Arabidopsis thaliana: one gene and its partner. The protein of the gene in region 2 purifies or fractionates together with the protein of the main gene of each other region. This does not show direct contact. Each region holds a gene or a part of one and is shown on either strand. Other genes may lie near its edges.

The links.
Region 1: the proteins of SEP3 (region 2) and REF6 purify together in Arabidopsis thaliana (affinity purification with mass spectrometry, with the first as the bait; one study listed by BioGRID). This does not show direct contact.

What each region holds. Positions count from the first base shown.
Region 1 is NC_003074.8:17,933,615-17,941,456, forward strand, and holds REF6 (relative of early flowering 6), read left to right. Parts: upstream 1-1,641; 5' UTR 1,642-1,994; coding exon 1,995-2,874; intron 2,875-3,073; coding exon 3,074-3,152; intron 3,153-3,283; coding exon 3,284-3,351; intron 3,352-3,432; exon of another isoform or gene 3,433-3,456; coding exon 3,457-3,607; intron 3,608-3,689; coding exon 3,690-4,312; intron 4,313-4,382; coding exon 4,383-4,874; intron 4,875-4,971; coding exon 4,972-5,354; intron 5,355-5,435; coding exon 5,436-6,842; 3' UTR 6,843-7,178; downstream 7,179-7,842. Other genes in the region: AT3G48425 (DNAse I-like superfamily protein), read left to right, coding at 242-303, 416-502, 601-704, 794-879; AT3G48440 (Zinc finger C-x8-C-x5-C-x3-H type family protein), read left to right, coding at 7,788-7,842. UniProt on the Arabidopsis thaliana protein: Histone demethylase that demethylates 'Lys-27' (H3K27me) of histone H3, thus acting as a positive regulator of gene expression. Demethylates both tri- (H3K27me3) and di-methylated (H3K27me2) H3K27me.
Region 2 is NC_003070.9:8,592,958-8,597,823, forward strand, and holds SEP3 (K-box region and MADS-box transcription factor family protein), read right to left. Parts: upstream 3,142-4,866; 5' UTR 2,906-3,141; coding exon 2,721-2,905; intron 1,935-2,720; coding exon 1,850-1,934; intron 1,741-1,849; coding exon 1,673-1,740; intron 1,589-1,672; coding exon 1,489-1,588; intron 1,411-1,488; coding exon 1,369-1,410; intron 1,286-1,368; coding exon 1,244-1,285; intron 1,159-1,243; coding exon 1,016-1,158; intron 924-1,015; coding exon 833-923; 3' UTR 619-832; downstream 1-618. Other genes in the region: AT1G24256 (uncharacterized protein), read left to right, coding at 1-32. UniProt on the Arabidopsis thaliana protein: Probable transcription factor active in inflorescence development and floral organogenesis.

The DNA of each region.
Region 1 (7,842 bases), on a different chromosome or scaffold from region 2:
ATGTTATTTTCCGTCGGCCTTTTATATCTCTTCCTATCTTGTCTCTTCATCTGCATTGTGACCCTGCTATTGTTGATGACTTTACTACGCCTGTATTTCTCTTCCTATCTTGTCTCTTCATCTGCATTGTGACCCTGCTATTGTTGATGACTTTACTACGCCTGAACCGAAAGGTTCTCCGTGAGATGGACCTTTAAATCATACAATGACTACAGTGGTTTTGAGTTTTTTGATTATGCAGGACTGCGGACAGCCTGGATTTACACCATCTGAGAGAGGACGCTTCGGGGCAACTATAAAAGAGTATGCGTAATATGTCTTTGCACTGCGAAGTCTTAGTAGTAGTACTTTCTAGAATACAGATTAGAGTTACTAAACATGTGATTATAAATTATATTTATGGGAACTGTTACAGAGGAAGGCTTGTTGATGCATACCGGTATCTACACAAGGAGCAAGAAATGGAAAGTGGCTTCTCATGGTCGGGGAATCCCATTGGAAAGTGAGTGGATACTACACATTTTAGTTTTATGGCTTGGAGTCCAGAACCTCCGCATGTTTCTAAAGCTATATATTGATTTTTTGTTTTGGTTGCCATAGGTACCGGGGAAAGAGGATGAGGATCGACTATTTTCTGGTCTCTGAACAACTCAAAGACCGTATAGTTTCTTGTAAGATGCACGGTCGTGGGATAGAACTTGAAGGTGCCATAGATAAACCTGTTCATCACACAGATTCATAGAAGATTATTATTAGCTCTTTTTGCAACAATTTGGTTCTTGATTTGTTTCAGGTTTCCATGGGAGTGATCATTGTCCGGTTACACTCGAGCTTTCGAAGCCATCTTCAGAAATGGAACAGAACCAGGTGTCAAACTAAAATCATCTTCTTCTGTATTAGAACATAAGGCCTTCTTAGGAACAAGCCAAAGCTTATTTTATCAGAGAATTTAATTTTTACTTTGCCGAGAGATGCATTGAAGATTTGATTGAGGTTATTGAGACACTTATTTAGCCTTGTTACTCTGATGAACTCTCAAATGTACTTATAATTATTGTTGTGCTTATCTTAATATGTTTTATTTTCCTAAGAAATGTTGATATTTTTAATTGTGAATCTTCTTCATTTAATTATTTTTATTTATTAACTTTTGAGTCATTTCTAAAGATTTAGAGCTTTTGTTGGTGTATTTTAAGCATATTATACCCTTTGCTTTATTGTCTTAGTCAGTAGGTAGAGGCAACATTCGTTAAACCAATGGCTCATTCAAATTCTTTTTTTTGGGCTCATTCATATTCATAAAAATCAAATTTGGATTCAGCATAACAAACACAATAATATATGTAGACATTTATATCATACATTAATTTCTACTAATTTCATGAACTACCAAAGACTAAAAATGTTTAATGAGAAATATCTTTTTTAAAACCATCAAAAATTTTACTCTTAAAATTGGGATTTATGTTTGGTTTTAAAAAGGAGTTTTTGAATGTGCAAACGGATTTACAGAGAGGACAACAACAAATGTGTGTTAGAAATGGCAGAATCGTAAATAATAAGAAAATCATACCCTTTTAAAAACCATTTCTCTCTCTAACTAAGTGTTCTTTACTTGTTTTAATACAGAGATATCACAATCTCTTGCTCTGCCCAAACCCATCCCAACCCCCTAAAAAAAATACAATTTTTTCCTCTGTTTCTTTAATCCAATAAAAACAGAGAGACCTAAGAAACGAGATCAACAAAGCCCGTCGTTTTTTTCGAGGAAAAGTGAATGACCCTTTAAGAAAATAACTCTATTGGCCGGAGAAATGGTGGAGACTCGTCGATTCTCTTAAAGTTTGTTTTTTTTTCCTCTCTTCAAAATTTTTGTTCTGTTTATACTCTGTAATGGCGTTTTAATTTGATACCTAGAAGTTAAAGTGAACAAATTTTGAGAGAAAGTCTCTTTTTTTTGTTCTTCCCTGTGTGTGTGAGAGAGAGAGAGAGATATGGCGGTTTCAGAGCAGAGTCAAGATGTGTTTCCATGGCTTAAATCGTTACCGGTTGCTCCAGAGTTCAGACCTACTCTAGCAGAGTTTCAAGATCCGATCGCTTACATTTTGAAGATTGAAGAAGAAGCTTCTAGATATGGAATCTGTAAAATTCTGCCTCCACTGCCTCCTCCTTCCAAAAAAACCTCGATTTCTAATCTCAACCGTTCTCTGGCGGCAAGAGCGGCGGCGAGGGTTCGTGACGGCGGCTTTGGCGCGTGTGATTATGACGGTGGTCCCACATTCGCCACGCGCCAGCAGCAGATCGGGTTTTGCCCTAGGAAACAGCGTCCAGTGCAGAGACCTGTGTGGCAGAGTGGAGAGGAGTACTCTTTTGGTGAGTTCGAGTTTAAAGCTAAGAACTTTGAGAAGAATTATCTCAAGAAATGTGGTAAAAAGAGTCAACTCTCTGCCCTTGAAATTGAAACACTTTACTGGAGAGCCACTGTGGATAAACCCTTCTCTGTTGAGTATGCCAATGACATGCCTGGCTCGGCTTTTATCCCTCTGAGTCTGGCTGCTGCGAGGAGGAGAGAGTCTGGTGGTGAAGGAGGAACAGTTGGTGAGACCGCTTGGAACATGAGGGCAATGTCTAGAGCCGAAGGATCATTGCTTAAGTTCATGAAGGAAGAGATCCCTGGAGTTACATCACCAATGGTGTATGTTGCTATGATGTTTAGTTGGTTTGCTTGGCATGTGGAGGACCATGACCTTCATAGTCTCAATTACTTGCATATGGGTGCTGGTAAGACTTGGTACGGTGTGCCAAAGGATGCTGCTCTGGCTTTTGAGGAGGTTGTTAGGGTTCATGGTTACGGTGAAGAGCTCAATCCTCTTGGTGAGTATGATAAGTGTTATGTGTTAGTGACTCATAGTTACTCAATGTATCAATTCATTGTTCTGATTGTTGGCTTTGTTGTGTCTCTGTTCTTTTTGTTGCTTTTAAATGCTTTTCTTTCCCTCCAAAAGTTGTCAGGGGTAGAAGCTGTATGCAAGCAAACTAATTGGTTATGCCTCTTACGTTCTTGTCTTATTAGTGACATTTTCTACTCTTGGTGAGAAGACAACTGTGATGTCTCCTGAAGTATTTGTTAAAGCCGGAATACCGTGTTGCAGGTAATGGTTTTTTATGTTTGTGCTCTGTTTATCTCATCATCTTGTTGTTTGCATGTCTCTTCTTTGGTCTCTTATAATTGGCACACTTTTTCTTCTTCTGGTTTTTCACGCAAGTGGTTTTTTTGTATCAGGTTAGTGCAAAATCCTGGAGAGTTTGTCGTCACCTTTCCGGGAGCTTATCATTCGGGATTTAGTCATGGTGAGTAAGCGACCTATATTTAGTATCTTTAAGTCAACCATTCAAAGGCCTAGTATGTTGAAATAACTTATATTATCCATAAAAACAATCGTGGGGGTTGTACAGGATTTAATTTTGGAGAAGCATCTAACATTGCCACTCCCGAATGGTTGAGAATGGCTAAAGATGCTGCTATCCGGCGAGCTGCTATAAATTACCCTCCAATGGTTTCTCATCTCCAGCTACTTTATGACTTTGTATTGGCTCTAGGTTCTAGGTACTCTTTCTTTTCTATAGACACACTCAAACTTTTTAAGCTGCTTGAAGGGCTCATATAAGGTATGTTTCACTCATTGCAGAGTGCCAACAAGCATCAATCCCAAACCACGGAGTTCTAGATTAAAAGATAAGGCAAGAAGCGAAGGAGAAAGATTGACCAAAAAGCTATTTGTGCAAAACATTATCCACAACAACGAATTGCTTTCTTCTCTCGGAAAAGGATCCCCAGTGGCCCTTCTCCCACAGAGTTCCTCAGATATATCAGTTTGTTCTGACCTGCGAATTGGATCCCATTTGATAACCAACCAGGAAAACCCAATCCAGTTAAAGTGTGAGGACTTAAGTTCTGATAGTGTTGTGGTTGATCTCAGTAACGGTTTAAAGGATACAGTTTCAGTGAAAGAAAAATTTACATCTTTATGTGAAAGGAGCAGAAATCACCTAGCAAGCACGGAGAAGGACACTCAAGAAACTCTGTCTGATGCTGAAAGGAGGAAGAATGATGCAGCTGTTGCGCTTTCGGATCAAAGGCTTTTCTCTTGTGTTACATGTGGAGTCTTAAGCTTTGATTGTGTAGCTATCGTTCAACCTAAAGAAGCAGCTGCTAGATATCTCATGTCTGCAGATTGTAGCTTCTTCAATGATTGGACAGCTGCTTCTGGATCTGCAAATCTTGGTCAGGCTGCAAGATCACTTCATCCTCGTAAGTTACAGGTCGCACTTTCGGTTATTGGCTGTTATTTAGCATTTACTAACTTTTTTTCATCATGCAGAAAGCAAAGAGAAGCATGATGTAAATTACTTCTACAATGTTCCTGTTCAAACTATGGATCATTCAGTGAAGACTGGCGATCAAAAAACTTCAACAACTTCCCCGACAATAGCGCATAAAGATAATGATGTTCTTGGGATGTTAGCTTCAGCATATGGAGACTCTTCTGATTCCGAGGAAGAAGATCAAAAAGGCTTAGTTACCCCTAGTTCCAAAGGGGAAACAAAAACGTATGATCAAGAAGGTTCAGATGGCCATGAGGAGGCTAGAGATGGTAGAACTTCTGATTTTAACTGCCAGAGACTAACCAGCGAACAGAATGGGTTAAGCAAAGGCGGAAAATCATCACTTCTGGAAATAGCTTTACCATTTATTCCAAGATCTGATGACGATTCATGTCGGTTGCACGTGTTTTGTCTTGAGCATGCTGCGGAAGTGGAACAGCAACTTCGTCCTTTTGGGGGGATTAACTTAATGTTACTGTGCCATCCAGGTAACATCAAAACTACAAGATTCATTTTATTAGTATTTCTGTATCAGTTATGCAATTCTTTAGTCTTTTTCATCATTTTGACGCACAACATTTGCAGAGTACCCCAGGATAGAGGCTGAAGCAAAGATAGTTGCCGAAGAGCTCGTCATCAATCACGAATGGAATGATACTGAATTCAGGAATGTGACCCGAGAGGATGAGGAAACGATTCAGGCAGCGTTGGATAATGTTGAAGCTAAGGGTGGGAACAGTGATTGGACCGTAAAATTGGGTGTTAACCTTTCTTACAGCGCTATTCTCAGTCGCTCTCCTCTGTACAGTAAGCAGATGCCGTATAACTCCATCATATACAAGGCGTTCGGTCGCAGCTCTCCAGTAGCGAGCTCACCCTCGAAACCCAAAGTCTCTGGTAAAAGATCGTCCAGACAGAGGAAATATGTTGTTGGAAAATGGTGTGGTAAGGTTTGGATGTCACATCAGGTACTATTGTCTAACCTGAATCCATACTAATTCAGACATTAGTACACTTCTGTTTGGTTCAATTTGCTTTTCTTTCTTCAGGTGCATCCCTTTTTGCTGGAGCAGGACTTAGAGGGGGAAGAATCTGAAAGAAGTTGTCATCTTCGAGTTGCTATGGATGAGGATGCCACTGGAAAGAGATCGTTTCCTAATAATGTTTCCAGGGATTCGACAACAATGTTTGGAAGAAAGTATTGTAGGAAGAGAAAGATAAGAGCAAAGGCGGTGCCACGCAAGAAGCTTACTTCTTTTAAGAGGGAAGATGGAGTTTCTGATGACACATCAGAAGATCATTCTTATAAGCAGCAATGGAGGGCTTCCGGGAATGAGGAAGAGTCTTATTTTGAGACAGGGAACACAGCTTCTGGTGATTCATCAAATCAAATGTCTGATCCGCACAAGGGAATTATCAGACATAAAGGTTATAAAGAATTTGAGTCAGATGATGAGGTTTCAGACCGTTCACTTGGGGAAGAGTATACTGTACGGGCATGTGCAGCTTCAGAGAGCTCAATGGAGAATGGCTCTCAGCATTCAATGTATGACCATGATGATGATGATGATGATATCGACAGGCAGCCTAGGGGGATTCCAAGGAGCCAACAGACAAGAGTTTTTAGGAATCCAGTTTCATATGAGTCAGAAGATAATGGCGTTTATCAGCAAAGCGGAAGAATATCCATAAGTAATAGGCAAGCTAATCGAATGGTTGGTGAATATGATTCAGCAGAGAATTCTTTGGAGGAACGAGGCTTTTGCAGTACAGGGAAAAGGCAAACCAGGTCAACAGCCAAACGAATAGCAAAAACCAAGACAGTTCAGAGTTCGAGAGACACAAAAGGTCGCTTTTTGCAAGAATTTGCATCTGGAAAGAAGAATGAAGAATTGGATTCATACATGGAGGGACCTAGCACACGGCTTAGGGTGAGACATCAGAAGCCGTCGAGAGGGTCTTTAGAAACAAAACCAAAGAAGATTGGTAAGAAGAGAAGTGGTAATGCTTCCTTCTCCAGAGTTGCAACTGAAAAAGATGTGGAGGAAAAAGAAGAAGAAGAAGAAGAAGAAGAGAATGAGGAAGAGGAATGTGCAGCATACCAATGTAACATGGAGGGTTGCACGATGAGTTTCAGTTCGGAAAAACAGTTGATGTTACACAAAAGAAACATATGCCCAATTAAAGGCTGTGGTAAAAACTTCTTCTCACACAAGTATTTGGTTCAACACCAGCGTGTTCACTCAGACGACCGTCCTCTGAAATGTCCATGGAAGGGATGTAAGATGACGTTCAAGTGGGCTTGGTCTAGAACCGAGCACATAAGGGTTCACACAGGCGCTAGGCCTTATGTTTGCGCTGAACCGGATTGTGGTCAAACATTCAGGTTTGTCTCTGACTTCAGCCGGCATAAAAGGAAGACCGGTCATTCGGTTAAGAAGACCAACAAAAGGTGATTTAGGCTCTAACATGGAATCTATCATGAAGAAGATTACTCCATTGATCTATTAGAAGAAAATTGGATTGTACGAATATTAGGGGTTTTCTAAGTGTGTATGTCTCTCTGGTCCTCTGTCAATTCGGGATTATAAAGTCAAAGTCTTAACATTTGGAATAGCCATTGTTTGTTGCAGACGTTTTCACTTTCAGACAGATTCTCTCTTTGTTGTATTCTCTATTTTTGCAGTTGAATGAATCTGTAACAACAACAAATCCTGGTGTAGGAAAAGCATTGTGTTACTCAAGTATTTGACATATATGGTTGTATACGTGGCTTATCCTGGTTGGTTGACAGTCAGAGTTCATCGCCGTGGACTTCATTTGACTTTGATAAAGACTCAAACCTACCAAATTGCTAATGAATGACATTACCTGTGTCAACTAGGATGTAAAACTCTCTGACTTCAGCACACGGCACAAACGAAAGACCAAATGACTTAACATTTGGAATTGCCATTGTTTGTTGCATAAAGATTCATCTCTTTGTTGTGTTCTCTCTCGTCTTCTTCAGTTAGTCTATAATAACAATCCTGGTGTAGAGAGAGACTTTGATTTGATAAATAAAGGAGCTGCTTGTACAATTAAAAGCTATGTTGCATAATTATGAAATATCAAAATACGATAAGGACTTAGTTGCAATTCTCAAAGAAATATCTGAAACGCATAATTTTAAGTTAAAAAAGTGTGCATGAAATGTGAACTATTGGACCTTGTCAACAAATTAAAGCAACGGTTTCTTTGAGATTCTCATTCGTGACGCTATAAACGACAAATGTAATAAAGTATCCATAAAGGAAACAACTTTATTCTTCTTCTTCCACCCTTTGATCTTCTTCTTCAATTACCTCCCTGAAAATTAGGGTTTTTGTAATGTGATTTCGTAAGAAACCAAAAAAAAAAAAATGGTCAATTCCGAAGAAATTGCAGATGGGTTTGAGCCAAAACCTGTTTCTCGAT
Region 2 (4,866 bases):
ACGAAGACACTAATGAGGAAGACGAGGAGTAAGTAACTTCAAGCTTGTGCAACGACATTAATCTTTTTTTCTCTGTATATGACCATTAAGAGCCATTACTATACATCAAGAGGCACCATGTTTTTGTTTGTTCTCTTGGCCTTGGTCATGGAATATAAGCATTAACAACCTTAGTAATAGAAAAGCATTCTACTCTTGATCAAACAAACTCAAAATTCAAGAAACGCTTCCTTAGATCGTAACTCTAATCGTCGGGTGAATTCACATTTCAATTGAGATCTTAAACCTATGTTTAAGGTATCTGATAAACTTGTCTATCAAATCTTCATGATAATTGAGAATATCAACTACCTGCAAGATATATTAGAACCAAATTTATCTTCTTCTCTATAGTAATACTCCCTCTACAAAAGTATAGATATAGCCAAAATGATATAGGTGGGGCCTACAGATACATAAGCAGTGGCCAGTGAGTTGCTCTTTAACAAGAGAGATAAACAAGCGGTCCCTTCTCAAGACTCAAACAAAAAAACACCAAATAGATAGTGTGAGACTGTGAGTTATATCGTACCATAAATCATAGTTAAGAGAATTGGTTAGATAACATGCATAAAATGGGAGTTATTTTAAAAGAAACTGGATCAGGAAGTTTAGGAGTAATGGGTAAAAATAGGAAGCAAAATTGTCGAAAAAATTATTGAATAATAGAAGGGCATAAACATTACACACACACATGCACACAAGACAGAAAACATGAGAGAGGTAATAAAATAGAAACATCATCTTAAAAATGTCAAAAAAAAAAGAGAGGGATTGATTAAGTGAGAAAGATTCAAATAGAGTTGGTGTCATAAGGTAACCAACCCAACATGTAATTATTCACACTTGGTCCTGCTCCCATTCCATCTTGTTGCCCCTGATACCTGCTCCATAAAATTTAGTAGTTTGAGATACTTTCTTAAGAAAAGCTTATAATAGAACTCAAATCAAATTGGTTATACTAGTCTAAAGTTACCCGATCTGAAGAATGGGTTCACATTCCAAAGGCTGGAAGAAAGCTTGGGAGTGTTGTTGTTGTTGATGATGATGACGACCGTAGTGATCAACCTCTTCTTGGTTAGGGTTCAGCTGGAGTGGCATCTGATACCCATCAGCTAACTGTCACATATGTATATACACACACACATTATAACCAAATTTAGTGATGCATTAATTTGGTGATATGAGAATGTATATTAATTACCCTTAGTCTTAGAGTTTTATTTGTCTCAGTCAGCATGCGTTCCTGCTCCAAATATTTGTGTTTTCTTGGTTACATTACTTTTAGATGAGGAATTTAGAGAGGAGAATGAGTGTTTCTTTATTTACCTTACTCTGAAGATCGTTGAGCTGGTCAAGCATAAACTGTGTCTGCAGAATTAAACACCAAATTTAATCTTACTATGGAAATAGATCAGTGTATAAAGATATTGATGAACAAAGTAGTACCCTGAGAGCTCTGATCTGCTTCAAGGAAGAATCAAGCTGTCTCTCAAGTGACTCAAGCTCCTTTGTACTTAGAGGTCCAAGATCTTCTCCCAACAGATTCCTATTTCAACATCAAAACCATCAAAAAAATCTACTAAAAAAACAAACACTCTCTGAAGGTAGCTGAAGAAGCTAATTAGTTTACCTTTGGGTTCTCTGTAAGGCGTCATAACGCTCCTTAAGCTTGAGATACTCCTGCTGGCTACTAAGTTCCTGAAGTATATGACAAATTATAACATTAATCATTTGACTCTAAAAATCAAAGTAAAAATTGAGAGTAATTAATTAAGGTAATTAGAAGAAAGAGAAGAGAATTGGGTACAACTGCTAAGGCCTCTCTTGAAGGCACATTGGGTTCTGGTGCTCCATAGTTACACTTTTGGTACCTCTCCAGTGTCCGAAGCATGCTTCACACCACACAAAAACATCATTTCTTCCATTAATCTTACTCATCAAGTTCAAAACATGTTTTTAAAAATGGGATTTTTAACTGTTTCCTAGGGTTTACAACAAAATCTGTTAGTCTTTTAAGAGAAGATCTAAAGAACCCAGAAAAAAGGATGAATCCCATCCCCAAGTATACATATCCAACGGACTTTAGATGAATTTGACATTAGCGTCAATTCAAAACCCAAAATTGGAAACCCCTAAGGGTTACTAAAATGGATTGTCGTGGAAACAATATCCCCCTATGAACTTATATCAATCTGACAACAAAATTGAGTGATTTGATCGAATTGGACGACCCCCAGAATCAAAAGGTGGAAACTTTAAGCTTATGTGAATTAAAGAGTACTCACAAGAGAAATTAACCCTAATTTCATATCAGATAGATTGTTCTTCTCTCAGATAATGTGAATTAAGTAGACAAACAAATAAGCAATAAAATATAAGAAAAAAAACTTTGATAGATGTAAAGAGAAATAGAAAAAAAATCAAAAACAAAAATGGAAATCAAAGAGAAACACAAAAGAACATCAAAAAAGCAAACTTGTTATAAAATGATACAGATTTGGGGTATCCCAAATTTTTTTTCCTCTTTGCTTCTTTTAAAAGGATATGATAGAACACGTACGTACGACACAACAACACATCACAGAGAGACCCATACATACAAGACATTTTTGTGTTACTTAATATGTATATAAAATGTTTATGTTATAAGTAATATATATACAAAAGTAGATATATACCTCGAACTACTGCAAAACTCGTACAGCTTTCCTCTATTTGAGAAGATGATGAGAGCAACTTCTGCATCACATAGAACTGAAAGCTCGTATGCTTTCTTCAAAAGACCATTCCTTCTCTTTGCAAACGTCACTTGCCTATTGATCTTGTTCTCTATCCTCTTCAATTCTACTCTCCCTCTTCCCATTTTCTTTTTCTTTCTCCTCTCCCAAAAGATATCTCAATCTCTCTCTCTCTCTTTCCTTGCAAGCAATTCTATATATATATGAGCCTCTCTCTTTCTTTCTTTCTTTCTTTCTTTTTTTCTTTATATTTTTTTTATCTATCTTATATTGCTTTTTAAAGTGTACATATACATTTGTACAAATCTCACAACACTTCTCTCAAAGTACATATAAACATGTCAGCTTCATTACTTGAAATATTCTCTTTCTAATATACTCTCAGACTCAACTATATACCCTCCAATTATTGTGTACCAAAGACCCTCATAGGATTTATTCAAATATTGCAAAATTGAAAGAAAAAATGTTAATTACCCTATCCATGCTTAGATATTTTCAAACCTAAAAATTTGGTGCATTTTTGTGTTTATACATAATTAGTAAAGGAGAGAAATTAGAGTTCCACTCTCACCAACACTTTATTCTAGCTAGTGGTTTAATTTTTCAATTTCAGTCCATATTTAGTTTAGAGAAAAATGTGATTCTGCCAAGAAAGTTTGATGCTTTTTTACTTAGTTCATCGAATTATAGAGATTAATAATTGAAAATCCTACAAAAAACCCTAACATTTAAAACCATTTTTATTTAATACGTTGAGAGAGACAGAGATATTAAAATCGTATGATTCGTAAGAGTGTGATGTTGAAAATGAGAGATTAATAATGGAAGGTGGAGATGGCGCGTGTGCGATGAGTGATTGCAACCCTAAACAGAAAATAGTAGGGCAATGAATGAGTTTGGACACGTGTCGACATCTCGATGGTAGGGTCTGATAAATCCACCTGATTTTTTTATATAAAAAATTTTGATTTTATAAATTTTTCTTTTTTACTTATAAAATCGAGTTCAGGGAATCATGTGACCTAACCTTAACTAGGTGAAGCCTCGTACGATTTTCCCAACTTACGGAACTACCCTTGTGATTGGTTAAAAATGTAAAGTAAAACACTACTCGTTTGTGATGTTTTCATGATATCTAAAACTCTTACTGCTAGTTTTGATAAATCTTACTGCTAGATTTGCTTTTCCTTTTCCAATCTATAGTACTGCTAAGATTATTTTTGTTAGTGAAATTAACAGAAATGTCTTTTGTATTAGTCTACTTTATAAACCACCATTTTGATGTGGCCAAAAAAAAAACCATGTTGATAAATTCAGTTTGGTAAGAGAGTCTGATGAGACACAAAAAAAATTATGGGAAAGAAAGAAAACATAAATGGATAAAATAAACAGAGATTTGAATATAAGATATAGTTTATTTTGGTTATCTTAGGGTTCGTCCGATGTTAGAGATCATGTCTGACCGAAAGTCTTAGTGCTTTTTGGTTGCAGACGTAATTGCTTTATTCTGACCGGTAAGTAGGTGATGGACACAAAGGTATGATTCAATTAGAAAAACTAAACATAGCATTATTATTCTGTTTGGTTATATTTAAACCCATTAGCTTCTTTTCTCTTTTGATTTGCACATTGAATCGCTTATTAATCTCACTTGGTCATGGTCTCATAGAAGCATTTTAAGCAAATTTGCACGAGTTTTATATATTGTCTTCATGTGGGACTCAAGATTTATGATATTTTAATTTGCTTCAATTGGTTTTAGATAAAATAAAATTAAATATGGTTATATAATTATAAGTTACAATCAAAATTAGTTAGAAGGACGTATGAGAAGAAAGGGAAGGGCAAGTACGAATTCACTTGTTATCAGATCTGGTCGTATAATTCAATGTAAGATGATGACAATTGATCGAGATGATGTGCATTAAACCAAAAGAGAAACTAAAGTACATTCAACTATTTATTTATTGATGTCATACCAATGAAGTTAAAAACATATATCTTCTATCTTTTCCTTCTCTTTTTGTACTCTTTCCTTCGTTTTGTGATCCCCCAAAAATTTTCAAATCTTCCCCATTGATAA